Saccharomyces cerevisiae S288C: one gene and its partners. The protein of the gene in region 2 binds, or shares a complex with, the protein of the main gene of each other region. Each region holds a gene or a part of one and is shown on either strand. Other genes may lie near its edges. The genes, in order: MTC5, SEA4, SEH1 and RTC1. A codon is read from its position in the direction of its gene.

Region 1 (7,624 bases), on a different chromosome or scaffold from region 2:
TTGGCCTTCGCCGCAATGACTGGTACTACCGTAACGGTTCCAAACATTGGTTTTGAGTCGTTACAAGGTGATGCCAGATTTGCAAGAGATGTCTTGAAACCTATGGGTTGTAAAATAACTCAAACGGCAACTTCAACTACTGTTTCGGGTCCTCCTGTAGGTACTTTAAAGCCATTAAAACATGTTGATATGGAGCCAATGACTGATGCGTTCTTAACTGCATGTGTTGTTGCCGCTATTTCGCACGACAGTGATCCAAATTCTGCAAATACAACCACCATTGAAGGTATTGCAAACCAGCGTGTCAAAGAGTGTAACAGAATTTTGGCCATGGCTACAGAGCTCGCCAAATTTGGCGTCAAAACTACAGAATTACCAGATGGTATTCAAGTCCATGGTTTAAACTCGATAAAAGATTTGAAGGTTCCTTCCGACTCTTCTGGACCTGTCGGTGTATGCACATATGATGATCATCGTGTGGCCATGAGTTTCTCGCTTCTTGCAGGAATGGTAAATTCTCAAAATGAACGTGACGAAGTTGCTAATCCTGTAAGAATACTTGAAAGACATTGTACTGGTAAAACCTGGCCTGGCTGGTGGGATGTGTTACATTCCGAACTAGGTGCCAAATTAGATGGTGCAGAACCTTTAGAGTGCACATCCAAAAAGAACTCAAAGAAAAGCGTTGTCATTATTGGCATGAGAGCAGCTGGCAAAACTACTATAAGTAAATGGTGCGCATCCGCTCTGGGTTACAAATTAGTTGACCTAGACGAGCTGTTTGAGCAACAGCATAACAATCAAAGTGTTAAACAATTTGTTGTGGAGAACGGTTGGGAGAAGTTCCGTGAGGAAGAAACAAGAATTTTCAAGGAAGTTATTCAAAATTACGGCGATGATGGATATGTTTTCTCAACAGGTGGCGGTATTGTTGAAAGCGCTGAGTCTAGAAAAGCCTTAAAAGATTTTGCCTCATCAGGTGGATACGTTTTACACTTACATAGGGATATTGAGGAGACAATTGTCTTTTTACAAAGTGATCCTTCAAGACCTGCCTATGTGGAAGAAATTCGTGAAGTTTGGAACAGAAGGGAGGGGTGGTATAAAGAATGCTCAAATTTCTCTTTCTTTGCTCCTCATTGCTCCGCAGAAGCTGAGTTCCAAGCTCTAAGAAGATCGTTTAGTAAGTACATTGCAACCATTACAGGTGTCAGAGAAATAGAAATTCCAAGCGGAAGATCTGCCTTTGTGTGTTTAACCTTTGATGACTTAACTGAACAAACTGAGAATTTGACTCCAATCTGTTATGGTTGTGAGGCTGTAGAGGTCAGAGTAGACCATTTGGCTAATTACTCTGCTGATTTCGTGAGTAAACAGTTATCTATATTGCGTAAAGCCACTGACAGTATTCCTATCATTTTTACTGTGCGAACCATGAAGCAAGGTGGCAACTTTCCTGATGAAGAGTTCAAAACCTTGAGAGAGCTATACGATATTGCCTTGAAGAATGGTGTTGAATTCCTTGACTTAGAACTAACTTTACCTACTGATATCCAATATGAGGTTATTAACAAAAGGGGCAACACCAAGATCATTGGTTCCCATCATGACTTCCAAGGATTATACTCCTGGGACGACGCTGAATGGGAAAACAGATTCAATCAAGCGTTAACTCTTGATGTGGATGTTGTAAAATTTGTGGGTACGGCTGTTAATTTCGAAGATAATTTGAGACTGGAACACTTTAGGGATACACACAAGAATAAGCCTTTAATTGCAGTTAATATGACTTCTAAAGGTAGCATTTCTCGTGTTTTGAATAATGTTTTAACACCTGTGACATCAGATTTATTGCCTAACTCCGCTGCCCCTGGCCAATTGACAGTAGCACAAATTAACAAGATGTATACATCTATGGGAGGTATCGAGCCTAAGGAACTGTTTGTTGTTGGAAAGCCAATTGGCCACTCTAGATCGCCAATTTTACATAACACTGGCTATGAAATTTTAGGTTTACCTCACAAGTTCGATAAATTTGAAACTGAATCCGCACAATTGGTGAAAGAAAAACTTTTGGACGGAAACAAGAACTTTGGCGGTGCTGCAGTCACAATTCCTCTGAAATTAGATATAATGCAGTACATGGATGAATTGACTGATGCTGCTAAAGTTATTGGTGCTGTAAACACAGTTATACCATTGGGTAACAAGAAGTTTAAGGGTGATAATACCGACTGGTTAGGTATCCGTAATGCCTTAATTAACAATGGCGTTCCCGAATATGTTGGTCATACCGCTGGTTTGGTTATCGGTGCAGGTGGCACTTCTAGAGCCGCCCTTTACGCCTTGCACAGTTTAGGTTGCAAAAAGATCTTCATAATCAACAGGACAACTTCGAAATTGAAGCCATTAATAGAGTCACTTCCATCTGAATTCAACATTATTGGAATAGAGTCCACTAAATCTATAGAAGAGATTAAGGAACACGTTGGCGTTGCTGTCAGCTGTGTACCAGCCGACAAACCATTAGATGACGAACTTTTAAGTAAGCTGGAGAGATTCCTTGTGAAAGGTGCCCATGCTGCTTTTGTACCAACCTTATTGGAAGCCGCATACAAACCAAGCGTTACTCCCGTTATGACAATTTCACAAGACAAATATCAATGGCACGTTGTCCCTGGATCACAAATGTTAGTACACCAAGGTGTAGCTCAGTTTGAAAAGTGGACAGGATTCAAGGGCCCTTTCAAGGCCATTTTTGATGCCGTTACGAAAGAGTAGACAATAATATATCTATCCTTTTTTATATTTTACAATGCTTCTATGATATCTTTACTAAGTATGAGTTGCCAAATAGTCAGTGTGACTGCTTACATACGTTGAATTTCTGTATATTTTTACTAAGTTGCAACAGTTAGATAATTACAAGTTACCCTTACATTCTGTGGGATGTAGTCGAAGAACATCTCAGAGTAGGTCATCAAAAGATGCAAATCAGCTGAGCACCCCACTTTCAAAAACATTGTAAGATATTTGAGGGAAATCGCCTCTGGCCCGTTTATTCACTGAAGAATTAATTATGTGCAGTAGTATAAATGAAGGTCCGTATAATTCGCCCACTTTTGGAAAATCATTATCGTTGAAAGTAGATGGTGGGTTCAATGCCGTATCTATCAATCCCTCTGGTAGGGATATTGTTTTGGCCAGTCGGCAAGGTCTTTATATTATCGACCTGGATGATCCGTTTACACCTCCAAGGTGGTTGCATCATATTACGCCCTGGCAAGTTGCTGATGTACAATGGTCGCCACATCCCGCAAAACCATATTGGATAGTCTCGACATCGAATCAAAAGGCAATCATATGGAACTTAGCAAAATCTTCATCAAATGCCATTGAGTTTGTACTTCATGGGCACTCAAGAGCAATTACAGATATAAACTTCAATCCGCAACATCCGGATGTTTTAGCTACCTGTTCAGTCGATACGTATGTACATGCTTGGGATATGAGAAGTCCACATAGACCATTTTATTCGACAAGTTCATGGAGATCTGCTGCTTCTCAAGTGAAGTGGAATTACAAGGATCCTAACGTCTTGGCATCTTCACATGGAAATGATATATTTGTGTGGGATTTGAGAAAAGGCTCCACTCCCCTCTGTTCTTTGAAAGGCCATGTAAGCTCCGTAAATAGCATAGATTTTAACCGGTTCAAATATTCTGAAATTATGTCGAGTTCGAACGATGGGACGGTGAAGTTTTGGGATTATTCAAAAAGTACGACAGAATCAAAGAGAACTGTAACAACAAATTTTCCAATCTGGAGAGGACGTTACCTTCCTTTTGGAGAAGGTTATTGTATTATGCCAATGGTTGGAGGCAATAACGCAGTTTATCTGATTAATCTATGCGACGATGATGACAGTGAACAAAATAAGAAGACGAAACTCCAGCCAATATATGCATTTAAAGGGCATAGTGACCGAGTAATTGACTTTCTTTGGAGATCAAGACATACGTGCGATGGGGATTACGACGATCGTGAATTTCAATTGGTTACTTGGTCCAAAGACTGCGATTTAAAACTATGGCCAATTTCTGATAGTATTTATGGGAAAGTTAACTTTGACAGAGGCAAGAGACTTGAGGAGAAACTACCAGATTATGATTATTGCTCATACAATAAGGAACCTGAAAATAGGGAAAATGTTCAAAAGAATGAGTTTAGGCGTTTACGAGAAAACTTTGTGACAACTTCTGGATTGAAGAAAAACAAGACAAACCACATAACATGGCTCTCAGGAATTAGAATGAATAGCGCAACTTCACAAGAGGATTTATTCAATGAGACAAAAATCCAAAATTTAGGAGAGGAAGTAAGCGCCATTGGTCACAAGTTCCCAAAAGTCGTTTTTGAAAAGATATCCGTGTCCACAAGGGAATTGTGCCTGACGCTTAATGGCCCCTGGTCAGAGGAAAATCCTGATGATTATATATTCTTACGAATAAGTATTAATTTCCCTCTCAACTATCCAAACAAAGGGGACCCCCCCAAATTCACAATTGAAGAGAATTCAAATTTAACCATGAGTAAGAGACAAGAAATACTTTCCAATTTAGCAACAATTGGTCAAAAGTATACTGACTCAAATCTTTACTGCCTGGAGCCATGTATACGATTTGTTTTAGGTGAGAAGGTTAGCCTGGAGGACATCGAAGAAGGGCAAGAACCCTTATTAAATTTTGATATTGCAGATCACATAGATTTTGAAGAATTATCGTCACTGGATAGTTCATATTCCGATTCTCAAAACCCGGAAAACCTTTCTTCGCAATCAGATATAGAGTCATACAAGGAAGCACTGGTATTCCCAGATACTTCGAATCAAGGTTTGGATTTTGGAAGAAATTTAGCTCTTGATACGACACCTGTTCCAAATGGGTGTGGATCTTGTTGGACTGCAACAGGTGAACTCTTCTGCTTCTTTGCAAATGAGAAAAAACCCGAGAAAAAGCAAAATGCAATAATTAAACTCTCTCAAAAAGAAGCAGGGGTAGAGAAGCATCCTTTTAAAATTGAGCCTCAAGTTTTATATGATAAGGAAGTTGACAGCAGTGTAATCACCGCTGCTGATGAATTGAAAGCTCGCCCTAAGCGGTACGTGGACACCTTGGGGCTGGGAGGCGGTACTAATGGGGATTCAAGAACATACTTTGACGACGAGACATCTTCCGACGATTCATTTGATAGTGTCGCGGACGATTGGGACGATATATTGAGAAATGATATAATAGTGAGAACAAAAATTCCAATACTAAGAGGTAATTTTAAAGCTTTCAGCTCAGTACATTCGGAATCCGGGAAAACAGTAGAATCTACCAAAAAAAATAAGAATTTAGTGATTTCCAAAAATTTCAGCAGTTTATTAAGCGACCGCAAAGAACTAGCATTAGAATACTTATTTATGGATGCCACACCGGAAGGATTTGCTAGAAATAACGCTTTGGTGGCAGAAAAGTTTGACCTTGATGAAATTAGTCATTGTTGGCAAATATTATCTGATATGTTGATAGACCAAAGTGATTACGATCCTTATACTACTATATGGAATAACCATCCCATGGGGATAAAGTGGTTCATAAAGGAAGCGATTGTCTACTTTGAGAGGCAACAAAATTTACAGATGCTGGCCATGTTATGCTGTGTCATATTAAGCGCCAGGAGAAAAAAGATTCCAGCCAGATATTATGGGCAAGAATTAGAGAATATGGAAGGAACCATTGTGTTTAATGACAACGAAAGTCAAAACACATCATTTTGGAAAGGATCTGATGCTTTTTCCACCAGGTCTAGGAGTAGCACTGTTACACCAAATTTTTATGGTAATCATTTGAGAGGAAAAAACATTCATGGAGGAGACAACTCCTCAATAAGGTCCGACGACCACCACGCTAGGTTAAGGACGCACAACACTCTTAATGGTAGTAGTAAATTTACGGAGCCGGCCCAAAAGCAGGGCAGCCGTGCCATTTCATCCAGCCCTTTTCATAGTAGAATGCCTGACATCAAAGTCGAGCTTTTACATGACGATATTATAGAAGCTTATGAACAAGAAGACCTCTTACATTTAGAGGTATCAGACATACCAAAGTTCCAAACTTATATTTATCAATATTCAAAGTTACTTTTTAGATGGGGACTGCCTTTAGAAAGGGTCAAAATTCTAAAAGTTAGTACTGATTTCAGAAGTTCTTATAGTTCCCAAGGCATCCCCCCTAACAATAACAAGAAAAGTCCTTACAATGGTGTACTTACGCACTGGATCGAGAACAACGAGTTTGGAGAAGAAAAATTCCTAGCCCGAAATTGTAATTACTGTGATTTAAGAGTGACAAGAAGTAGCTTCATATGTGGAAATTGTCAACATGTTTTACACTCTTCGTGCGCGAGGATATGGTGGGAGATTGGTGATGAGTGCCCATCTGGATGTGGGTGCAATTGTCCGGAAATGTTCGATGCCTAAAAGCTTAACTATCACGTACATTTTCTGCATATTTCAAAGAACCTTGGATGTATATGAAAAAAAGTTCACAGGATATATGGCTTAATAAGTAGTTTATTTACGATTTTTTAATCCAGTAGAGGCATGATAGAAGACGACAACGGAATCATTGAGCGTTGGAGGCATTTTTACAATGGCTCAGTAATCACGAATAAAAGTAGGTGGAAGTTGAAATCTATTATTACATATTAAAAACTTCAGAAATACTTGAGGCTATATATTGTTGTACACTTAACCAATCGTATAACGGAGCATTGGAACAAGAAAGCTGAGTAGAAAACAGGTTACGAAAGTTGTTTGTTGGCTCATTTGTTCAAAGTCATTAACGAAGCGATAAAAGTAATAATTAATCTTGCACGAACTTCGTTGATATCTTCTGGCACCAACCAAATCAAAGCACCCAACTTTCTAGCAATAGAAATAGCCAATCTTGCGTTTGCGTACCTTTCTTCCTCGGTGTTACCAGGGGTGACTAGATCATAATCAACATAGCCCGGCGCGATACCATTCAGAACATCCAATAAGAAGTGGGCGTTTGATAAAGCTTGGTCCTTAAATGATCTAATGGTAGAGTTTTTACCACCTTTAGTTACCTGGTCTTGGGCCCACTTTAATATTTGAGAATCACTCATGTCTCTACCACTTGAGGATAATGTCTTCATGGTTATCGAAATATTTCTACGCATCAATTGCCACACTAACCCTAAGGTCAGTAATTTGTTACCATCTACAATATCAGATCCTTCGATACCAACCAAAGAAAATCCTTTGGCTCTGCCCAAGTCGACTGCATAGTTGGTGTTTTCTAAGGCTTTGAATCTGGATATCTCTGCACCCGAGGCCGGTCTTTTGTTGACATGTTTAAAATCAACAGCACCGGGCATCACCTTTTCGTAAGCTTGCAATAATATCAAACCATCCTTCAAATCATCAAACAGCGAAATGACAGGTGGATCAACGTCAAGAGAGTTCAACCATAAGGTAAAGACTCTTGCCTCTCTCTCACCTTCGGCGTCAAATTCTTCAATTTCAGGCTTTTCCTCTTCCTGAATAGGCTCT
Region 2 (7,089 bases):
TCCAATTGTGAAAAACTCATGACTGTAAACTGCTCCCTATATGTGTGATACTATACTTACTTTTCCTCGCTAGAGCTTCTCTCCGCAGCTACTGTTCTAGGTTTTATTCCTATTGATTATCTAATATAGTTTTAAAAATCTATACTGAAAGGGGATCGACGCTGAATACCTCTAACGTAAGTGTGGACGAGTGGTGGCAGAGACTTTTACAATGGTTAATAATCAGTCTCTACTCAGCCAAATTGAATAGCAGTGAAATCGTAGCTCTTTTACTGCTCCTGAACCTGTCGTATTACTTTCGATAGAGTAGATCAACTTTATTATCCACGCTTGTTAACTCTTTTCGTCGGTTTTTTTCGCCTTTAAAACTAGGCGGGCTGGGTAATGAAGATAGCAATGCCTCATAAATACAATGTTATACTAATTACGTTTTTTCTTTGGTTATGTATATATATTGTGAGAATAAAGAGAAGTTGCAAGATTTGGTTTATTGTACAATACTACTTATTACACTGGCAGGTGCAACCTGGAGTGGGACAAACATTATGTCTGTCAAACCATTCTTCAGCGTGACCGGCATGCATACCATGGTTGCAACTCAAACAGAAGCTGAACCACTCGTTCAACTTCAGTTTTCTACTTACGAGTTCGCGATTTGCACCATCTTGAGAGTCTTCTGTCTGCATTGGATCGCGTGATTGCGTCCCATTTATTACAAAAGGTAAGTTTGACGTTCCTAGAGGCATGAGACATATGGCACATCTTGGAAATGAAGACCCACAGTGTGGGCAACAATACTTATGTCTTGGCTTTTCATCAGCTGCTTGTGCTTCAGAACTTCCAGTATTAAATTTCTTGTAGTCAGCGTTATTTCTTCTATAGGCTTCACCATTTTTGTAATTTCCAGCACTAGTAGAGACGGCGCTAGAAGGTGAGGATGTGCGCGGAGTGTTGATGTTTTGTTTACAGTTTTGACATTGGATATATATTTGCCGGGGCTTTATGTCTGCAGTTAATACACCAGTTTTAGTTCTCGATAATTTTGATCTTAAAACATCGAACCTGGCTCGCATGGAGAATAATTCCCACGATTTAAGCATATCTCTATAAGTTTGTATCCATTCATCTACTCGTTGGTCGCGGAAATATCTAGGGGAGCCGAAAATTGATATCAGTGCGGCACTCTGAACATCGCTGGTTTTATTAACGTATGATTGCAGTAGATCGATACCATTAGGTGTTATTCCGGTGAGAATTAAACCTTCTAATTCGCCGTTTTCAATAACTGTAGATGAAGTTCTATCTAAGAAAGTGGTTAGGTCTGTATCATTCAAAAACCTTAGAGCTACCCCTAATCGTTCTCTCAAAGATATGGCAGGTTCATAAAGAATATCCCACCAATCATTGTCTGCGATAAAGGCGAAAATAACTCTCAAGTAAGGATCATCTAATTCGGAGGACATTTTTCTGCATTGCTGCCTCCATGCATTGTTACCTGGCAGATCCTTATACGCCAAGTAACCTGCAATAGCGGTGGCAATTAGTCTCAATCTTTCCTTTTTTGCAGATCCCAATATTTCTACAGCCTTTGGGATATCACCAAAAAATACCGCCCAAGCGGCAGCTTTTTCATAATGGCCGTTTTTCATAATTATGTTGTACTTGTCTTCATAATCAGATCTGGAAAGGTCCCATCCTGAGATAATTAAACAGAGTCTTCTCTGAACGTACTTTGGTGAACCAGCGGCATTGGCAATAGGACTGTTCCGATCCCTATTTTTCCTTCTTAGTTTGATGATTTTTTCCATTTCTTTATTTAGTTGTTTATCAGAAAGAATTGTCTCTTGTCTATATCTGTCTTGGTTCGATATTCCGTTTATACCATTCCAAATACCTATCACACCTTCGTAACCTAAGTCAAGATCACCAGAAACCATCGTACCATCGTCAACAGAAGCCTTTGCAATCGCGATCCACCTCCATGTGTTCCTTATATAAGCATTGTTTTGTAGATTTTTAGAAGAATCAATCATCTCTACCGTGTTCATTGGATCCAAACCATATCCCAATGAAGCTCGCGTCCTCATTATTACACTTATATCTTTTTCCAGAAGTTTTTCTGGCTTCCAGAACAGTTCAAATCCACGCTTACTGTCAAGGACATCATTACTCCCTTCATTTTCCTCTTCACTCAACTCGGAGTACTCAATTTCATTATTAGGTTCATCATGTCCAGACGGAAAGTAATCTTCGCTAACATCTAAATCCTCAAACGATAGATTCTTTAGGATTGTTTTTACATTCTCTAAGTTGGACTTTTCATGCTCATTGTTGACTCTAATTTCATCTATCTCAGTATTTTCAAAATTTGACAATAAGAGAGAGTTCCTATTATTGAGTATAGCCTTGGAGCATACCTCTGAAATTGGCATTCTGTATATTGTTCCCGATTGTCTCATACAGATTAGACTTGTTCCATTATTACTTCTTGGAATATAATCAAATGTAGCAACTCTATCGTACATCGTATTTGTGTCATGCACGGAAGAAACAAACAAATTCTCAATATTCATCTCGTTATCGTCATCTGCCGCAATATCACGATTGCTATCGCAGTAATAGCCTAACCTCCATCTTTTGATGGTATCACCTCTATGTAAGGTGGCAAATTCATTGTTCCTCACACATGACCACCTAAAGCAAGAGTTCATGTATTTCCTTGACGCTGCACCGGATCCAACCAATTTTTCAAAAGTTAATAAAGGGGAAGCTACATTTAAATCACCAAGTGAAGCTTGGTCAGATAATTTTCTCCTATCCCAAATAGCTAAGGTCCCATCATCCCCATAAGTACTAAATTGCCAATCGTTAAACGGGTTCAGTTTGATATCATACGTCAATCGTGTCGGATGTTGATAAATTGGGTTGGGGGATCTGACGTCAATTTCTTTCAAAAATTTCGTACTTGCAGCCAATACACTGGTATCGTTGAGGAACTTTAGGGATACTATGCTTTCATTTGTGCAATAACTAAACATTGGGTTGATAGTTTCATGCGAATCATCATGATAATTCATGTCCCAAATTTGTAAAGATGAATCATGCTTATTTCTGTCAAGACCCATTGCTATAAGACCATTCGTATTTATTCCCAGAGAGTTTATACACCGCTGCTTCTTTGCTCGTACACGTATATCATAATTGGTTTCTGAAACAGGGTACCCTTGGGTATCCTTTAAATTTGAGACAGATCCAACTATATTTTCCGCCTGAGCTGCCTTACCACCGCTGGCATTTGTCATAGAAGTCTCGTTATTGGCATTTAAGCCCACTGGCGCATGGCTCGCTGGCGATGAGGAATTTTGTCCAGAGATATTAAAAATCCTTAAATATCCATTCTTTTCACCAACTCCAATCATACCAATTTCTGATTCTGAATAGTCTAAGCAGGTGATACTGCCGAAGTCTTTCACAGTGTGTAATTTAATAATTGATTCATCAGATTCATTTTCCGGATCCACTTTATAGTGGGTCACTTCATCTCTTGTAGGGTTCACTGAAAGATAATCAATCAAATTATCATATGACCAATGGGTCACTTTTTTGATGAGACCCATGTTTATTCTTCTATACGTTCGTGATACTGCACTTACGACTACCAGTAACATCAGAATAACCATAGAGCTTATGCTATCTTGAAATATATCATCGCCGTAAAGTATGATGTGTAGCGCATTAGTCTTCTGCATTCATATTATCAGTGGTATACCGTTTGGTATATGCTTTCCAATCATGAAGTGTTGGCTCTACTCTATATAAATTCGACATCCATTGATTTTCTCAATAAATGAGTTACCCAAGTAAGCTTTCCATTGATACAAGTGATCTACATTCTTGCGACGCCAAATTATAAAGCACTAAAAATCATATCATACCCAATTGCGGGCAGCACATGTATATATTATACACTACTTATAACTAACCTTCTTCATATATAACAATATGCCTGATAATACTAATGCATTTAAATCATATCATGAAAGAAAATTACATGGGTTTTATTGACATAATTGCATTTAGAATACATAAAATTCTAAAGAATTAATATATCCAAAGTATTAGACATAACCAAGAATAATAGTGAATAATTTTAGATTTTGTTACATATAATTCTGCTTGCCTATCTCTTCCACTCTTTTCAAAACGTTGCATGTAAGCGTTACTAATATTCCGCTTTATTTTGTTGCAATTCCTAATTTTTTCATTACATTATCTTGCGAGTACGGAAGCGATTAACGTTCTCCCAATAGAAGGAACAAACATAGATATTGAAGTTTTACTGCTTTTGCTTACCTGACCTTTTTCAAATTTAATTTTTTCCCGCTAATAAGACCATAAACTACCCCGAACCAAATTCTAAAAGATAGTCAGCTGGATTAGAGTTGTCATCTCCAAACATTAATTTTGCATTATCTTCGGCTTCAATCAAATCGCCTGATAAGAACTCCTTTAATTCTTCATGAATGTTTGTATGTGGATGACTCTCCATAGTGCCAGCATGATTGTGGTTACCGACCGAATCATATAACGGTGGCTCCCAATTGTGCAATTCAGCCTTACTATTTTGTTCATTCATCAAAGCATTTGGGACAGATCTAATATCTATAATTCTTTCCTCACTATTCTCGCTATTATTTTGCCCCGAACTGGCATGGTGGTTATTGGTAAAAGGAGATAATGCTGCGACAGAACTTTTCTTCTCTTCCAATTCTTTTATCTTCGCCAATAACGCCTTCTTTTTTCGTGCTTGTATTTCTAAAATTTCGGCCAGGTATTGTAAATATTCGACCGTTCTATCCAAAATGATACCCTTATTTGGTTTGATTTGTTTACCTAGGTCATCGTAATTCAATAAAGATGGTGGAACCAACTGGCCGAGTTCTTTTATCTTTTGCTTTATTAATTCTCTTCTTCTCCTTTCGACGGCATTATGAAACTCTCTTTTGCGCCTCAGTTTCTCATCAGAAGTTAACCCGCCTAAAATCTTTGGAACACTTCCAGGTCCTATATTTTCAGTCATATTGCTACTTATTGAAGTGTGTCTTGTTCTGGGTGTGTTTATGCTACCATGCCTAAAAGAAGATGAAAGGAAACTTCCTGCACGAAATGACGATGATGGTGATCTTACCTTTGGGGAATATGTGGAAGATACGGATGCTGGGCCCAAGCTTTGTGGATTATAAGAAAATGATGATGAATATGTGTTTGGTGTCATCATATCAGAATTGATGCTAGAAGATAAAGAGGAGCTCAAATCATCAGTTAAGTTATACATTGTGTCATCGGTGCCATGCTGAAATAAAAAGTCATGTGGTAACTCAGCTTTTAAGCCTTCTTGTTGCTGTAATGGAGTATTCATTGCTCTATCCACAGGTGAGTCGTAAGCCATAGAATAAGATGATCTCAAGGGACCCTGCCCTATGGAAGATATGGAATTTTGAGTGACAGGTCTACCGCCTTGGCTTGTTCTAAACATATCATCCAGGTAAGACGATTGCGATTCTGCTTCCTCATATATGGTCGAAGCTGTAGGAGTTTGTGAATTGGACCTCGCTTGACTGCCCATTAAGTTATTATTATCGTTAGAGTTGTGCGTATTGATGTATGAGAGTTTTTCATGCTGTTGGGCAGGAGTCTCACCACCTGGGTAGGCACTTCCGTGTATCTTGTAATCATCATTGTGGTGTGGAGTGGGTGTCACTAACGAAAAATCTAAAGTTTCCTGGAGGACTTTTGTCTGGTTCATTAATTCGTCCAGTAGACGTTGGTTCTCAGCCTCACTTTCGTTATTGTTCATCATTCTTCACTTATTTAAGAAGTAGGTTCGCCTGACAAAAAATAAGAGTATTCTATTAAAGGATACTTGTCAACTAAGTAATGTGAATGCAGTAATGTCGTTTTTGTTATCTTATATATGCTCACGTAAGACAGAAATTCGGATTGTGAAAAATTCCTTGATGATTCCGTGCAGCCTCTAGCCAAAATAGCAACTGCGAGTAAAAAATAATGTACTAACCTGCAGTAATATTGGAGATCCTACTGTCCGGACCGAGTAGTACAATTGTTAGTTTCTGTTGCTCATAAGAAGGCTTTTCTAATCACCATGGCTTTATTATTTCAAAAGTAACTTGCGAAGAGTCACATCCCGCGGAACGGCCCGCAATCGTGACCCGGCAAAAGGCGATTGTAATGAAGAGGGAGTATTGGTCAAGACTTGTACTATACTGAAATAGGAAGAAGATTGAATAAATTTGCATTCTAATTGCGTTCGGTAGTTTAGAGTAGGACTTAGATTACCTGTATTGTCTGCAGTTGCGTTTTTTTTTTTTGCTGGTAAAAAAAAAGAACAAGTGTGGAGAATATGAGCGAGGAACCACCTTCTGACCAGGTCAATAGTCTCCGTGACTCATTGAATCGATGGAATCAAACAAGACAGCAGAACTCGCAGGGTTTTAATGAATCTGCGAAGACATTGTTCTCAAGCTGGGCGGATTCTCTCAATACCAGGGCCCAGGATATATATCAGACGTTGCCTGTATCTAGACAGGACTTGGTGCAAGACCAGGAGCCGTCGTGGTTCCAATTGTCAAGAACGGAAAGAATGGTACTTTTTGTCTGTTTTCTTTTGGGTGCAACAGCCTGTTTCACTCTTTGTACTTTCCTTTTCCCCGTTCTAGCCGCTAAACCAAGAAAGTTTGGTTTACTATGGACAATGGGGTCCCTACTATTTGTTCTTGCGTTTGGGGTACTTATGGGACCACTCGCGTACTTAAAACATTTGACTGCAAGGGAAAGGCTGCCTTTTTCGATGTTCTTTTTCGCCACATGCTTCATGACGATTTATTTCGCAGCCTTTTCCAAGAACACGGTGCTGACTATTACATGTGCTCTTCTTGAATTAGTTGCCGTCATTTATTATGCTATTTCATATTTCCCATTCGGTGCAACAGGTTTGAGGATGTTAAGCTCTGCTGGTGTCAATTCGGCAAGAGGTGTTCTGCGCATCTGAATTATCATTCATAGTGCATA
Region 3 (4,825 bases), on a different chromosome or scaffold from region 2:
TGCTTTTCTGTCATCTGACTCTTTTACATATCTTTCTAAATCGACAGATCTAAACAGCAACGGATTCCTCGCATCTACAATTTGAACAACTAAATCTGATCTTTCAACAACTCTCCATAACTGTTTCCAAACTTCGATATTTCTTTCAAACGGTGTTAACAACAAGTCTTCATTGCTTTCTTGTAAATGTGCCAATTTTCTTCTCCATTCTAAAAACGCTTCCTTTTCTTGCCTATCAAGCTGAAACTTGGACATGCCCTCGTTCCATTCAGGCCTCCTTGGAACAATCAAATCCTTAGCAAGCGCTCTTTGCTTCGCATTAAGATTTCCACGCTGCTCATTAGTCATAGAAAACCCTTGAGATGTCGCAGAATCATTACCGCTATCCATTCTAATAATTTTAACATTTGAATGTCTATCGGCCGTGAAATCTTTGTCTGCCAGTGCAGCTGTACTCAAGAATTCATCTAAAGCTGATTCTTGAGTTACAGATCTTAATTTAACCCAGTTGGCCTCATGCTTATCGGTAGTGAACCTCATTTCACCATCAGGTAAATACTCGATGGCATTTTCTTTTTGACGTGCATATTTAATAGCTCTGCCTAATTCAAGCTTATTTTTATTTTTACGGTGGGTAGGTTTTGGCCCTTTTGGCGCCTTCCATTTCTTGGGAGCTTCTTTTGGTGGCATAGTTGGTGGGGGTCCTCAATATCAGATTTAGTTTTGTGTTTAAAAGAAGTTGGCTTATAAGCTCATCACCTCTTTATTAAGTAGTAGAATGCATTTTCATTGACAAATTTTTTAATCTCGGCATTGAAAAATTTCCAGGCGAAAAGGCGAGGGAAGGGAAGCTTGATATAATTCGAAAGAATACCCAATATCAAGAATAATAATATCATTTGATGTAATATCATTATATTTGTAAGAGCTTTTTAAAAGCATCATCTTTCTTGATTCATCTGTTGCCTCGTATTATACAGAATAATGCACACGTATAAAGTACCAATATATAATGTTATGTATACATATATTCTTATTTATTGTTGGGCAGTAATTACTGACATACACTTAAATTCATTTGAATAAGTGGCTTTCCATAAACGTACCTTCCCATCATCCCCAGCACTGCTTAAGATTGTACCCGTTAAATTCCAAGACACGGACCAAACTTCGCCATTATGGTCATCATGCTCGCTTAGAAGTTCAACTTGCAAGTTTGATTGTAGCTCAGCTTTCTCTTCGGTATTTGAGTCTGATCTGCCCTGTGCATCCATGTCAACATCAGCACTATTATCAAACATATTTGAGTTAGTTAAAGACTCCTCTGAGGCCAGGGGACTTAGTTTTTCTGTGATTTTGAAAATTCTAATTCTACCATCTTTGCAACCTGTTGCAATGAGTTGATACCATCTACCAATGGAAGGAGCCCAGCTGATACTTCTTATTAAACTTTTATGACCGGGAAGTTTTGCTGCAACGTGAAGTTTACCGTCTTTACCCCTTTGGTATATAATCGCTTGTTCCAATGCAGAGACTGCGAGCTTTTCAGGAGAAAATCTCGAAGGACACCAAGAGAGACAAAAATCAGACTGTAAATGATTTGCTGGTGGTATAGATAGCACTTTCATCTCAGAAGTCAGTGTCCATGACCTTAGGTCAGAAGGTTCTAAGGCATCATAAAGTCTGAGGATTCCATCGTTACCCAAACAAGCTAATTTTAAGCCCAAATGCGCTGGCGCAAATTTTACACTATAAAGTGATCCTTTGGAATCATTCAGGGTACACAGCTTGTTCCAACGACGGCCAGAGCATTCTTCTTGGTCGGGATCTTCTTCCCATAATTTTACCGTCTTATCGTAAGAGGCTGAAGCAATGATGCGCCCATATTCTGGACTGGCCCAATCAATGGCCACGATACTACTGTCGTGAGCTCTCCATGAGTCACTGAGTTCCCAATTACTCGTGTCCTTGTCTAATTTAAAAACTTTAATATGTTGATCAGAAGAGCATGTTGCCACATGTCTTCCGTAAAAGTCATAAACGACATCATGAACTAAATCATCATGCCCACTATCAAATGGTTGCATATTCAGAAATATTATTGGGTCGTTCTTCTTCTTCCTTAGTATCTCTTCAGAAGGGAAACCTTGTTTATAATTTGGTTTACTTGTCTCTATTCAGTTCATGATTTTTTCCATCGTTTTGCCGAAGACTTAACTAACAATAAATAAGAGAAACAGATATATTAAAACTTGGTTGATAATGCAGCACGCACATTCAATCGCGAATAATATACAAAAGATTATTTCTAAAGTTACATATAATGCACACCGGGTGCTGGAAGTATAATACATGCAAAATAAAATGGGCACTATCTCGTTGAAAAGCATCAAGATGTTATTATAAATGATACGCACCACCAGGTGAAGGTTTGAGAAAAGAAAAAAAAGCACTAACTTTTCTTTCAAAAGGCCACATTATTACTCCTTCAAACTGTCGAAAAAGGCTTGTCGATCTTCCAGTAAAGATTGTGTCCATTTTTTAACTTCATCAGTTTTTATATCATTGATGGCTCCCAAAAATTGTTTCAAATCCTTCTTGCCATTATACTTTTGTTCGTACTCAAAACATTGAACCAACATTTCATACTTATCAATATCTTTGACATATCTTCCTTCCAAACAGGTCTGCTTTTCGTATGCTAACCAGTCATCAAGAATTTCCCTAGATGCGCTTTCACTGCAGGGCCTTATTATGCTTTCACAGAGATACTTGACAGTTTCAAATTCTCTGCGATGTTTCTCTTCCTTTGTCATTGGGTCATTAGGTGTAATATCACCAACTAATGACTCCGCAAAATCGTGAACAAGTGCGATTCTGATACATTTGTTACGATCAACATTCTTGTCCGTAATCAGCATGGTAGTTAAACCCATTCTGTACATATGGTCAGATATACTTTCGCATGGGTCAATACCATGGTCAACCCAACCAGTTCTTCTTTGCGTTTTCAAAAGTTGTATAATATTCAAAAACGCTAACTGATAATTTGGGTGAGGTTTCGAAAGAATTGCCAAAATCTCCCTAGGTATATTATCTTCTGGCTTCCAGATGTTAACTGCAGTCATTTTGTTTTTCCTGGTCTTTACCTCGAATAGGTTTTCTTGTTTTGTTATTTGTTTTCTTTTTGGACCCTATGTTTATATATGGATTTTGAAAATCTTTTAAAAAAGCGATAAAAGCGTTGGGATCTGCCACTGGTAACTTCAAAATAGACAAGACGAAAAAACGGTGAAAATGGGTGATAGAAATAATACAGAAGTAGATGTTGAATTAGATTAAACTGAAGATATATAATTTATTGGAAAATACATAGAGTTTTTGTTGATGCGCTTAAGCGATCAATTCAACAACACCACCAGCAGCTCTGATTTTTTCTTCAGCCAACTTGGAGACGAATCTAGCTTTGACGATAACTGGAACATTTGGAATTCTACCCTTACCCAAGATCTTACCGTAACCGGCTGCCAAAGTGTCAATAACTGGAGCAGTTTCCTTAGAAGCAGATTTCAAGTATTGGTCTCTCTTGTCTTCTGGGATCAATGTCCACAATTTGTCCAAGTTCAAGACTGGCTTCCAGAAATGAGCTTGTTGCTTGTGGAAGTATCTCATACCAACCTTACCGAAATAACCTGGATGGTATTTATCCATGTTAATTCTGTGGTGATGTTGACCACCGGCCATACCTCTACCACCGGGGTGCTTTCTGTGCTTACCGATACGACCTTTACCGGCTGTACAAAAAAAATATTGTAATGAAATACAATTTTTAAATCGTTAGTAAAACAGGTTTTCAACTGGACATTTTATCGAAACAAAAGAAACGTGGTAACTCTTTTTCATAATTGCGCTCTCTACAACCATTTGATACAGCGATAATTAGTGCTTTCCATAATCTAAATGAAAGTTACCTTTTATAGCCGTAAAATGAGTAGACAGTATGACTGTTCTGAATATCATGGTATAATAAAGGAGAAGTATGACAAAGGCTATGCACACTTTCTTTTTGCTCAGTTTGCGATGGAAGAGTACATTTACTCGAGCTATTACCTCAAATAAGCCGTCTCAACAGTGAGATGGTAATACAAAGTTCGCAATCAAAACACAAAGAAATATGTTGAGTACACTTAGCTGATTGACATTCTCCTGTACCATGATATACACACGACATATTGGTTGCACAACACTAAAAAAAAAGTCACCGTCTTGGTTCTTTCATTCCCTCTTCCAAATGGAACTACATACCTGAGACGTGACCTCTGTGCTTTCTAGTCTTAGTGAATCTGGAAGGCATTCTTGATTAGTTGGATGATTGTTCTGGGATTTAATGCAAAAAAATCACTAAGAAGGAAAAAAATCAACGGAGAAAGCAAACGCCATCTTAAATATACGGGATACAGATGAAAGGTTTGAACCTATCTGGGAAAATACGCATTAAACAAGCGAAAAACTGCGAGGAAAATTGTTTGCGTCTCTGCGGGCTATTCACGCGCCAGAGGAAAAATAGGAAAAATAACAGGCATTAGAAAAATAATTTTGATTTTGGTAATGTGTGGGTCCCTGGTGTACAGATGTTACATTGGTTACAGTACTCTTGTTTTTGCTGTGTTTTTCGAAAGGGTTTCCTGGGAACTAGTGCTATAATGTCAACATCAAGTATCGTAGATTTCAATTCAACTTAGCTCTTATTACAGTTTATATATAATACGCATTTCATAAGGTTCATTCCACCTCGTCTCTTGTAATCATTACAATGCTGTTGATC
Region 4 (8,056 bases), on a different chromosome or scaffold from region 2:
AACAACGATGAATGTGACGTGGGAATCTTCGACGCCACAAATTCGACCATCGAAAGAAGAAGATTTATATTTGAGGAGGTTTGTTCGTTCAATACAGATGAGCTTTCTAGTTTCAATTTGGTGCCCATAATCTTACAGGTGTCATGTTTTAACAGAAGCTTTATCAAATACAATATCCACAATAAATCGTTTAATGAAGACTACTTAGACAAACCTTATGAACTTGCCATCAAAGATTTTGCAAAGAGATTAAAACATTACTATTCGCAGTTTACACCTTTCTCCCTTGATGAGTTCAATCAAATCCATCGATATATCAGCCAACATGAAGAAATCGATACGAGCTTATTTTTCTTCAATGTTATTAATGCGGGCGTCGTTGAGCCACATTCTTTAAATCAAAGTCATTACCCTTCAACCTGCGGCAAGCAAATTAGGGACACCATTATGGTTATTGAAAATTTCATCAATCACTATTCTCAGATGTTTGGTTTTGAATACATCGAAGCTGTTAAATTGTTTTTTGAAAGTTTTGGAAATAGCTCAGAGGAAACTTTAACTACACTAGACTCTGTTGTTAATGATAAATTTTTTGATGATTTGCAGAGCCTAATTGAAAGCAACGGATTTGCTTGACTGATACTTTACCATACGGGAGTTGAATATCGGTACTCCTTTATTATATTTATGATCCTCTCCAGAACTCCATCTACCTCCCGCCTTTTAATGACCATTTTTACGACCTTTTCGCATGTTTTTCTATTCTTTTACAGTTTCCTTGGTACCGCTAGTTACATTATGTTATCTTGAAAAGGCTACTATACACTTTTTTTGCACTACTGAAGCAGCTTTCAAAAGCTCTTTATAGACTTCAGATAGTATTACTTTTTCCTTAAAATTCTATCTATTTGTAAACGACCAAGAGTGTCATTATGTATACTATATATCAAAAAGTTCCATATGTTGTCTGAAGTTCCTTTTATCTTCCGCCTTTCTATCTTTCTGTTACAATTATTCAACAGCTTTATTTTTCTAATTTTGGAATTAGTTGCAATGCACTGGCACCGATGGCGTTTCTGAAACTAAAAATATTCTTCATGCCCTTTTATGAATTTAGGATACAATGTCCATTCCAATGTAAATAACGCAACCATAATCCAACACAATAGTGGGATATACTGGATTCCCACTGTGTGTGCAATAACTCCAGCCAAATATGGAATGGCTGCACCACCACAACCACCAACGGCGACGGCAACCCCAACCCCGCTCACATGTAGTCTTTTGGGCAATACTTGTAATGCAACTATACTTGCGTTTGGGAATAATGGTCCGATAAACGTACCACAACAAAAAACAACAAAAAATAACACGACGAAATAGAAAACTGAGCTTGAATTGATCAACCCAACAAGCACAAATAAGGTGTATGAAGATAGAGTTAAAAAAGCGTACGCTTTGCTTGCTTTATACTCGTTTTCGAAGAATCTTTCAGTAACAAATCCTAGACACAACCTGCCTACAGTCAAACCTGTCCAAAACGATGCCGCTATGTATGACATAGCAACCTTATTACTTGATTTAGTTTCCAATAAATAACTAAAGAACCATGAACCAGTTGTAATTTCAGCACCTAAGTAAAGGAACAAATACAATGAGTACAAGAAAATAGCAGGATTTCTTAAAAGTTCAAAAAATCCTGGGCTCGCCTTGGTAGATTCCATCAGCGAGTTATCACCCGCTTCTTCCACATCATTGTTGCTTTCTTTGTTTTCCACAGAGCAGAGGTAGTCGTATTTACTTGCAGTTTCAAATTTAAAAGCTGGGAAGATTACAATCATGCCTATTATAGAAAAGAACAGAGGAATAAGGAAAAAAAGAGACCAATGACCCCATTCAACAAAATATGAAACTAAGGGAGGAGTAACCATAGCTGCTGCCCCGTAAAGACCATGCATGATACCCATGAGTTCATTCTTATGGACTAAAAGACTGCCCATTAAAACATTACCGGTAGAATCTAAGATGCCGATCCCTAAACCAAGAGGAAGGCCACAAAACATACAAACATAGAAACTAGAAGGTGCAGTTGCTAAAATGATAAGAAATACTATACACAAACCAGCTGCTAGAAGCATACCACCTCTCATACCAAAGTGCTTATTCAATCTCTCTTTTGATAAAGACGCCATCACATAACCACATAATTGGACTATAAATACGTTTGAGACATCTACCCGCGATATATGATAGTATTCAATTAGCGTAGGAAGTAGTGCACCTACTGTTTGATCGTTCATACCAAAGACTACGAACATAATCAAGCATGCTATCACCTGCAGCTTTACTAGTGGTACAGTTTGATAGTTTAGTGGATATGTTTTAACTTTCTCGCCCTGCCAGTCAATTTCTTTGATTAAGTTTGTATTGTTAGGTAGACTATCTTCATCTTGAGAATTTCTTCTGGAGTCTGATGATGATAGCAGATTTTTCAACTCTATTGGGTTATGATGTGAAATTTCAGTTGTATACATTCCATAATCATCTACCTTTGGTGGAACCGAGGAAGCATCCATGCTGAAAACTTATATATGGATTAAATTATACTATGAATCCCTAGGATCTTATTCTTGGTTTCTTACTATAGCATTTTAGAATACTGTTGAATGTCTAGCTATGCATGATCGGAGAGTTTAAATTTTTCTGTCTCGGAACGTTCTTTTTAATTTGTCAAAAACATCGATATATAACGATGATTACTGAAAAAGGAAAACCGATTGATAATACATATGGTGCGATTGCTGGCTGAAGGCGAGTGAGCTATTGAGTGGATTTAGTTGAAAATCATGAGCTTATCACCACACGTAGAAAATGCTTCCATTCCCAAGGGGAGTACCCCGATACCAAAAAACAGAAACGTTAGTTCTATAGGCAAGGGCGAGTTTCTTGGATCTTCGTCAAGCAACAATTCTTCTTTTCGAATGAATCATTACTCAAATAGTGGACAACCTTCCGTGTTAGATTCTATACGGCGACCTAATCTAACTCCAACTTTTTCTTACAGTAATGGGGTTTATATGCCTGAAAGTCACAGAACTAGTTCATTCAACGATAGTTATTTGCCATATGATAAGAATCCTTACGCAAAAACAACCGGAAGCATGAGCAATAAATCGAACATGAAAATCAAAACAAAGAAAAATGCAATCAACACAAATACAAGAAAGTCGTCTGGACTCATTTACACCACCAAAGTGGATAAAGAATTATCTAGTATAGACAAAGTGAATGATCCAAACATTAACGGTCTTGTTTGTGCAGGTAAAACTCATTTGGGGCTCTATAAATTCTCGCCCTCAGATAGATCTATCAAATGCGTTCATGATTTCATAACACCTAATAGCAACACCTCAACAAGGGGAACGACATCCCTTTTGCCCAAGCTGAGCAAAAGAACAAGACAGAACAAATTTAGTACCATTGCGGATGTTAAGACTGGATTTAATAATTACAAGAACTGTATTGCAGTGTGCAACAATTCTACGGCGATATCGATATATGATCTCAATAAGAGTTCCTCGATAGACAATCCCTTGATAACATCCTTATGCGAACACACTAGATCTATCAATAGTTTTGACTTCAACATGGTCGAATCAAACCTAATAATAAGTGGTGGACAAGATAGTTGTGTAAAAATATGGGATTTACGTTCCAATAAATCTAAAAGCTCAAATAGATCTGACATTAGTATAAATACCGCATCTGACTCAATCAGAGATGTAAAATGGATGCCCGGTTACAATTTTGCATCTAAGAACGATCAAGGTTCATCAACGTATGGTAATTTAAAAAGCGGTTACAAATTTGCTTCTATTCACGATTCGGGATACTTGCTAAAGTTTGATCTTCGACAACCTGCCCAATACGAAAAAAAATTAAATGCTCACACAGGACCCGGTCTTTGTTTAAATTGGCATCCCAATCAAGAATACATTGCTACAGGTGGTAGAGACGGTAAATGCTGCCTCTGGTTTGTTGGCGACAATGCCAATGCCGCCGAAAATACAGTCCTCAATTACGGGAACTCTCCCTCGTTACATGCCCCCAATACGTCCTTGAACAATAGCGGCTCGCTGGCATTTCCCAAACTAACAATTAATACGGGCTATCCAGTCACTAAATTGAAGTTCAAGCCTGCTTATAGTAGTAATATATATAATTCATTACTAGGAATATCGTCAATGGGTGACGAAGCTGAAGTTCGCATCTATTCCTTGGCAAGAAAGTACATTCCAAAACATGTTCTCCTATCAGAAACGCCTTCTTTAGGATTAGTATGGTGGGACGAAAACTTGATCTTTAATATCGATAAGGGGACCCGTATAAATGGCTGGGACATTAACAAAGAACCAACAGTGCTCGAAAATTTGAGCAAAAATACAACAACTTGGAGAGATTTGGATGGTAACGGTTTACTTTCAGTTGACCAAGAGATAGGCTCATATGAGGTGGTAGAACCGGAGCTTCAACCTACCTCAAGTACCACATGCAAGAAGCATCCAGGTACAATAAAAAACCCGAAGAATGGCAATCCAGAGAACCAGGGAATAATTGGAGGGATAAAAAAAGGATTTAGCCATACTGGATTAACAAGTTTTACGCCAGAGAGGCCGCCTACTTTAAAAGCAGGCCCAACGTTTAGCACAAAAAGCTTAACATTAGCATCTGGAGCATCTTCTTTTAACAGCTCTTCCGCATCATTGACATCCCTGACGCCACAAACTGAAAATAGAGAAGAAATCGCCATTGAACCGCCTTGTATCATCACTTTGGATATACCGCAGATCTTCAATAACATAAGATTAACCAAAATCGCACATTCAAGAAAAAAGAACGTCATTTCCGAAAGTTCTTCTATGAAAAATTCTCCAGTAGAAAAGTTCAAATATTTGGCGAGACAGCTCAAGTTTTCGTATATTCGAGAGCATAATGTTTCAGACAGTGCAGACACTGCATATAAAAATGATATAGAGAACATTGACGTCGTTAAAAACGCAACCGAAACACATGGTGATAATACTACTACTACCAATAATAATGATGATGGTGATGATGATGATGATGATGATGATGATGACAAAATAATCGAAAGTCACCTTTTGAAAAAATACAATTTTCCAGAAAATAATACATGGGCTACCTTAATGAATGAAAAAGTAAATAACAAAAAATCCAAAAGAAATTCCAGTAGTTCGAGGGAGTTTGACGAGAAGGATGTCAGATCAAGTATATCTTCCATTTCTGCAAGTAGGCAAAGTCATGACAGAGCTAGGAAGATCGACAAGAACGTGGAAGCAGAACTGCAAGAAAAAATACAAACACTGGTAGATTTGATATCTATTGCAACGCATAACGCATCTGTTTATCTATCCATAGATGATCTAACCAACTTCAAAATCTGGATCTTGATAAGAGATTCATTGTTATGGGACTTGAAGTGGATGACCTCCTCCCAAATTTCATCAGATAACGCATCTAATATGGATGCCAATGAAAGCTCCGATTTCGAAGCTGGAGAAAATCTGAAAACAGGAAAAGAGTTCCCAGAGGAGGATGGTGCAGGGACAAGTGGGGCTGAGTCGTTAGTTGAAGAAAGGCCGCAGGCATTTCGTGCTAACTCTGATGAACCAAGTGATGCCGAAAAGAAACCTGTTTCTAAGCTCAAAGAGCAGCTCAAAAACACGGAAATAATCCCCTATGCGCAGCCAAATGAGGATTCAGATGAAGTTTTAACTAAGCTAAAAGAGCTACAGAACCAACGCTTGGAGTCAAGGACTAAAATGGGAGAAACAGTGAGTGACGATGTGATTATAGAGGAAGACGAACATGAACATCAAGAAGAAGAACAGCCTCATGACTCACCGACTAAGTCAGCACAATTTCACGCGTCTCCTATCGCGAAAAGTATACCAATATTGCAGAAACGTGAGCACCGCAAGTCATTCATAGATACTTTCATGTTGCATTCTCCCAACGGTTACAATGGAGATACGGACATAGGTAACGAAGATGACAATATATCTCCTAGGTTTACTTACAACAGCGTAAGCCCACGCAGTAAGGTTTCGTCGCTACAAAGCTATGCCACAACAACCTCGCAACTAGAAACTTTTAAAAAGCTTTCTTCCCATACAGCACCAATAATCGGATCGCCCAGACATGCGCCATCACGGCCAGATAGCATTGGTAGGGAACAACTGTCTTCTTCATTGACGAAAAAGCTTGCCAAATGCAAGAAAATTATCGCTGACCCACCCTGGGACACGAAAAAACTCATCAAACAACTCTACAATCAAGCTACTGAGACTGGGAACGTCGTATTGACGGTGAATATTTTATTTCTTTTCCAAACGATATACCAAATAACAGAAATCGACATTGCAAAGGACGCAATCGCTCACTTCTTGTTATTATTACATCGATACGAACTCTTCGGCATTGCTGCAGACGTCTTAAAATACTGCCCATTCGAAGATATCATGGGTTCTGAGGGTGACCAATCTTCCATTCGGTTGTTTTGCGAACGCTGTGGTGAGTTAATCACTAACGAAAGTTCTAAAGAAAAGCTCAGAGCGGAAGCTCAGCAGACGGGCAATAAGAAGATCATGGACAAGTTTGGATACTGGTATTGTGACTCTTGTAAGAAGAAGAATACATCTTGTGTTCTATGTGAAAGACCATTAAAGAAACTGACCATGGTCATCCTCCCCTGTGGACACGAAGGTCACTTCCAGTGCATACAAGAATGGTTTCTCGATGAGAATGAACAAGAATGTCCCGGCGGTTGCCCCGGTGTTGCATTCATCTAGGTTCTCCACATAATGTATAGTTTAACATATCATCACCATTGTTTAGTTAAATCGTTTAGAGTAATATTACCCGTCAAAAAGGTCGGGTAAAATTTTATTACCCTCTCCGAAAAGAAAATTTTTTTCGTCGTCAATAGAGTTTAATGCAATACCTGATAAAGAGAGTTTTACATTGCAAGAGGTAGTGTTAATTCTGGATTTATATTGTACATATGTGTTTGTGTTAGTGCTTGAGTACTTCCTAGGAGTTTTACGAAAAATAAAAGCATTTTTGTCTGAAAACTAGTGAAAGGAAGAAAAATGTCCGTTGAAGAAGTTAGCAAGAAGTTTGAAGAAAACGTTTCAGTCGATGATACCACAGCTACTCCAAAGACTGTTTTAAGTGACAGTGCTCACTTCGATGTCAAGCACCCATTGAACACCAAATGGACTTTATGGTACACAAAGCCAGCCGTCGATAAATCTGAGTCGTGGTCTGATCTATTACGTCCCGTCACTTCATTCCAAACTGTTGAAGAATTTTGGGCTATCATTCAAAATATTCCTGAGCCACACGAACTACCATTGAAATCAGATTACCACGTCTTCCGTAATGACGTTAGACCTGAATGGGAAGATGAAGCCAATGCTAAAGGTGGTAAATGGTCTTTCCAACTTAGAGGAAAAGGTGCTGATATTGATGAATTATGGCTAAGAACTTTACTAGCAGTTATTGGTGAAACAATTGATGAAGACGACTCCCAAATTAACGGTGTCGTTTTAAGCATTAGAAAAGGTGGTAACAAGTTTGCCTTATGGACTAAATCTGAAGACAAAGAACCACTATTGAGAATTGGTGGTAAATTCAAGCAAGTTTTAAAATTAACCGATGACGGGCATTTGGAATTCTTTCCACATTCCAGTGCCAATGGTAGACACCCTCAACCATCAATCACCTTGTAAGATAGTCTGAATTTTTCTTAAGATAATTGTTATTTTAATCAAAATTATATATATAATCATAATATAATATATATACATTCTACTAGTTAGGATGCACGTATAAACTCATCATGTTAACACAGAAGGAAAAGTCAAAATGAAGGAGAAAAAAAAAAAAAAAAAAAAAAAAGAGAGGATGACGTTAAAAGGACAACTCTTATTAATTATATCATTCAAGGTATGAAAGACGCACCACATGTACA

Evidence for each region.
Region 1: the proteins of SEA4 (region 2) and MTC5 are in contact, whole or in part, in a cryo-EM structure (PDB 8ADL), measured with the Saccharomyces cerevisiae proteins. Residues at the interface, in NP_009446.2 of Saccharomyces cerevisiae: Arg838 (codon at 1,106), Lys842 (codon at 1,094), Phe847 (codon at 1,079), Ser848 (codon at 1,076), Arg850 (codon at 1,070), Ala851 (codon at 1,067), Arg852 (codon at 1,064), Asp854 (codon at 1,058), Val855 (codon at 1,055), Ser858 (codon at 1,046), Arg862 (codon at 1,034), Leu868 (codon at 1,016), Ile872 (codon at 1,004), Lys873 (codon at 1,001), Pro874 (codon at 998), Arg875 (codon at 995), Gln876 (codon at 992), Ile877 (codon at 989), Tyr878 (codon at 986), Ile879 (codon at 983), Gln880 (codon at 980), Cys881 (codon at 977), Gln882 (codon at 974), Asn887 (codon at 959), Asn889 (codon at 953), Pro891 (codon at 947), Pro951 (codon at 767), Arg952 (codon at 764), Cys953 (codon at 761), Ala954 (codon at 758); in NP_010413.3 of Saccharomyces cerevisiae: Leu795 (codon at 5,462), Met797 (codon at 5,468), Asp798 (codon at 5,471), Phe1038 (codon at 6,191), Pro1043 (codon at 6,206), Leu1044 (codon at 6,209), Arg1046 (codon at 6,215), Val1047 (codon at 6,218), Lys1048 (codon at 6,221), Lys1051 (codon at 6,230), Thr1054 (codon at 6,239), Pro1074 (codon at 6,299), Tyr1075 (codon at 6,302), Asn1076 (codon at 6,305), Gly1077 (codon at 6,308), Val1078 (codon at 6,311), Leu1079 (codon at 6,314), Thr1080 (codon at 6,317), His1081 (codon at 6,320), Trp1082 (codon at 6,323), Ile1083 (codon at 6,326), Asn1085 (codon at 6,332), Leu1094 (codon at 6,359), Ala1095 (codon at 6,362), Arg1096 (codon at 6,365), Asn1097 (codon at 6,368), Asn1099 (codon at 6,374), Tyr1100 (codon at 6,377), Cys1101 (codon at 6,380), Asp1102 (codon at 6,383).
Region 3: the proteins of SEA4 (region 2) and SEH1 are in contact, whole or in part, in a cryo-EM structure (PDB 8ADL), measured with the Saccharomyces cerevisiae proteins. Residues at the interface, in NP_009446.2 of Saccharomyces cerevisiae: Leu286 (codon at 2,762), Leu287 (codon at 2,759), Thr288 (codon at 2,756), Phe289 (codon at 2,753), Arg313 (codon at 2,681), Trp329 (codon at 2,633), Arg330 (codon at 2,630), Gly332 (codon at 2,624), Tyr333 (codon at 2,621), Tyr334 (codon at 2,618), Asp336 (codon at 2,612), Leu354 (codon at 2,558), Phe355 (codon at 2,555), Val356 (codon at 2,552), Ser357 (codon at 2,549), Ser358 (codon at 2,546), Val359 (codon at 2,543), His360 (codon at 2,540), Asp361 (codon at 2,537), Ser399 (codon at 2,423), Glu400 (codon at 2,420), Val401 (codon at 2,417), Cys402 (codon at 2,414), Ser403 (codon at 2,411), Lys404 (codon at 2,408), Ala405 (codon at 2,405), Ile406 (codon at 2,402), Leu407 (codon at 2,399), Asn408 (codon at 2,396), Asn409 (codon at 2,393); in NP_011415.1 of Saccharomyces cerevisiae: Met1 (codon at 2,087), Gln2 (codon at 2,084), Pro3 (codon at 2,081), Phe4 (codon at 2,078), Asp5 (codon at 2,075), Ser6 (codon at 2,072), Gly7 (codon at 2,069), His8 (codon at 2,066), Asp10 (codon at 2,060), Leu11 (codon at 2,057), Val12 (codon at 2,054), His13 (codon at 2,051), Asp14 (codon at 2,048), Val15 (codon at 2,045), Val16 (codon at 2,042), Tyr17 (codon at 2,039), Phe19 (codon at 2,033), Tyr20 (codon at 2,030), Gly21 (codon at 2,027), Arg22 (codon at 2,024), Val24 (codon at 2,018), Ser29 (codon at 2,003), Gln31 (codon at 1,997), Leu38 (codon at 1,976), Ser43 (codon at 1,961), Asn44 (codon at 1,958), Trp45 (codon at 1,955), Asp55 (codon at 1,925), Ser56 (codon at 1,922), Ser57 (codon at 1,919).
Region 4: the proteins of SEA4 (region 2) and RTC1 are in contact, whole or in part, in a cryo-EM structure (PDB 8ADL), measured with the Saccharomyces cerevisiae proteins. Residues at the interface, in NP_009446.2 of Saccharomyces cerevisiae: Lys842 (codon at 1,094), Glu845 (codon at 1,085), Phe847 (codon at 1,079), Ser848 (codon at 1,076), Arg850 (codon at 1,070), Ala851 (codon at 1,067), Arg852 (codon at 1,064), Asp854 (codon at 1,058), Val855 (codon at 1,055), Ser858 (codon at 1,046), Arg862 (codon at 1,034), Leu868 (codon at 1,016), Ile872 (codon at 1,004), Lys873 (codon at 1,001), Pro874 (codon at 998), Arg875 (codon at 995), Gln876 (codon at 992), Ile877 (codon at 989), Tyr878 (codon at 986), Ile879 (codon at 983), Gln880 (codon at 980), Gln882 (codon at 974), Gln886 (codon at 962), Asn887 (codon at 959), Tyr941 (codon at 797), Phe950 (codon at 770), Pro951 (codon at 767), Arg952 (codon at 764), Cys953 (codon at 761), Ala954 (codon at 758); in NP_014503.2 of Saccharomyces cerevisiae: Arg705 (codon at 4,959), His1212 (codon at 6,480), Glu1215 (codon at 6,489), Phe1217 (codon at 6,495), Gly1218 (codon at 6,498), Ala1221 (codon at 6,507), Asp1222 (codon at 6,510), Leu1224 (codon at 6,516), Lys1225 (codon at 6,519), Met1233 (codon at 6,543), Asp1238 (codon at 6,558), Gln1239 (codon at 6,561), Ser1240 (codon at 6,564), Ser1241 (codon at 6,567), Ile1242 (codon at 6,570), Arg1243 (codon at 6,573), Leu1244 (codon at 6,576), Phe1245 (codon at 6,579), Cys1246 (codon at 6,582), Glu1247 (codon at 6,585), Leu1252 (codon at 6,600), Phe1278 (codon at 6,678), Gly1279 (codon at 6,681), Tyr1280 (codon at 6,684), Trp1281 (codon at 6,687), Thr1291 (codon at 6,717), Ser1292 (codon at 6,720), Val1294 (codon at 6,726), Leu1295 (codon at 6,729), Cys1296 (codon at 6,732).

Annotation. Positions count from the first base shown.
Region 1 is NC_001136.10:706,470-714,093, forward strand, and holds MTC5 (Mtc5p), read left to right. Parts: upstream 1-3,079; coding exon 3,080-6,526; downstream 6,527-7,624. Other genes in the region: ARO1 (pentafunctional protein ARO1p), read left to right, coding at 1-2,781; SAC6 (fimbrin), read right to left, coding at 6,871-7,624. UniProt on the Saccharomyces cerevisiae protein: Component of the SEA complex which coats the vacuolar membrane and is involved in intracellular trafficking, autophagy, response to nitrogen starvation, and amino acid biogenesis. May be involved in telomere capping.
Region 2 is NC_001134.8:17,677-24,765, forward strand, and holds SEA4 (Sea4p), read right to left. Parts: upstream 3,618-7,089; coding exon 501-3,617; downstream 1-500. Other genes in the region: PKC1 (protein kinase C), read right to left, coding at 1-20; RTG3 (Rtg3p), read right to left, coding at 4,400-5,860; SFT2 (Sft2p), read left to right, coding at 6,422-7,069. UniProt on the Saccharomyces cerevisiae protein: Component of the SEA complex which coats the vacuolar membrane and is involved in intracellular trafficking, autophagy, response to nitrogen starvation, and amino acid biogenesis.
Region 3 is NC_001139.9:310,496-315,320, reverse strand, and holds SEH1 (Seh1p), read right to left. Parts: upstream 2,088-4,825; coding exon 1,038-2,087; downstream 1-1,037. Other genes in the region: ribosome biogenesis GTPase LSG1, read right to left, coding at 1-690; YGK1 (5'-deoxynucleotidase), read right to left, coding at 2,481-3,128; 60S ribosomal protein uL15 RPL28, read right to left, coding at 3,394-3,794, 4,306-4,354. UniProt on the Saccharomyces cerevisiae protein: Functions as a component of the nuclear pore complex (NPC).
Region 4 is NC_001147.6:60,141-68,196, reverse strand, and holds RTC1 (Rtc1p), read left to right. Parts: upstream 1-2,846; coding exon 2,847-6,872; downstream 6,873-8,056. Other genes in the region: PFK27 (6-phosphofructo-2-kinase), read left to right, coding at 1-636; BSC6 (Bsc6p), read right to left, coding at 1,083-2,576; CDC33 (translation initiation factor eIF4E), read left to right, coding at 7,173-7,814. UniProt on the Saccharomyces cerevisiae protein: Component of the SEA complex which coats the vacuolar membrane and is involved in intracellular trafficking, autophagy, response to nitrogen starvation, and amino acid biogenesis. May be involved in a process influencing telomere capping.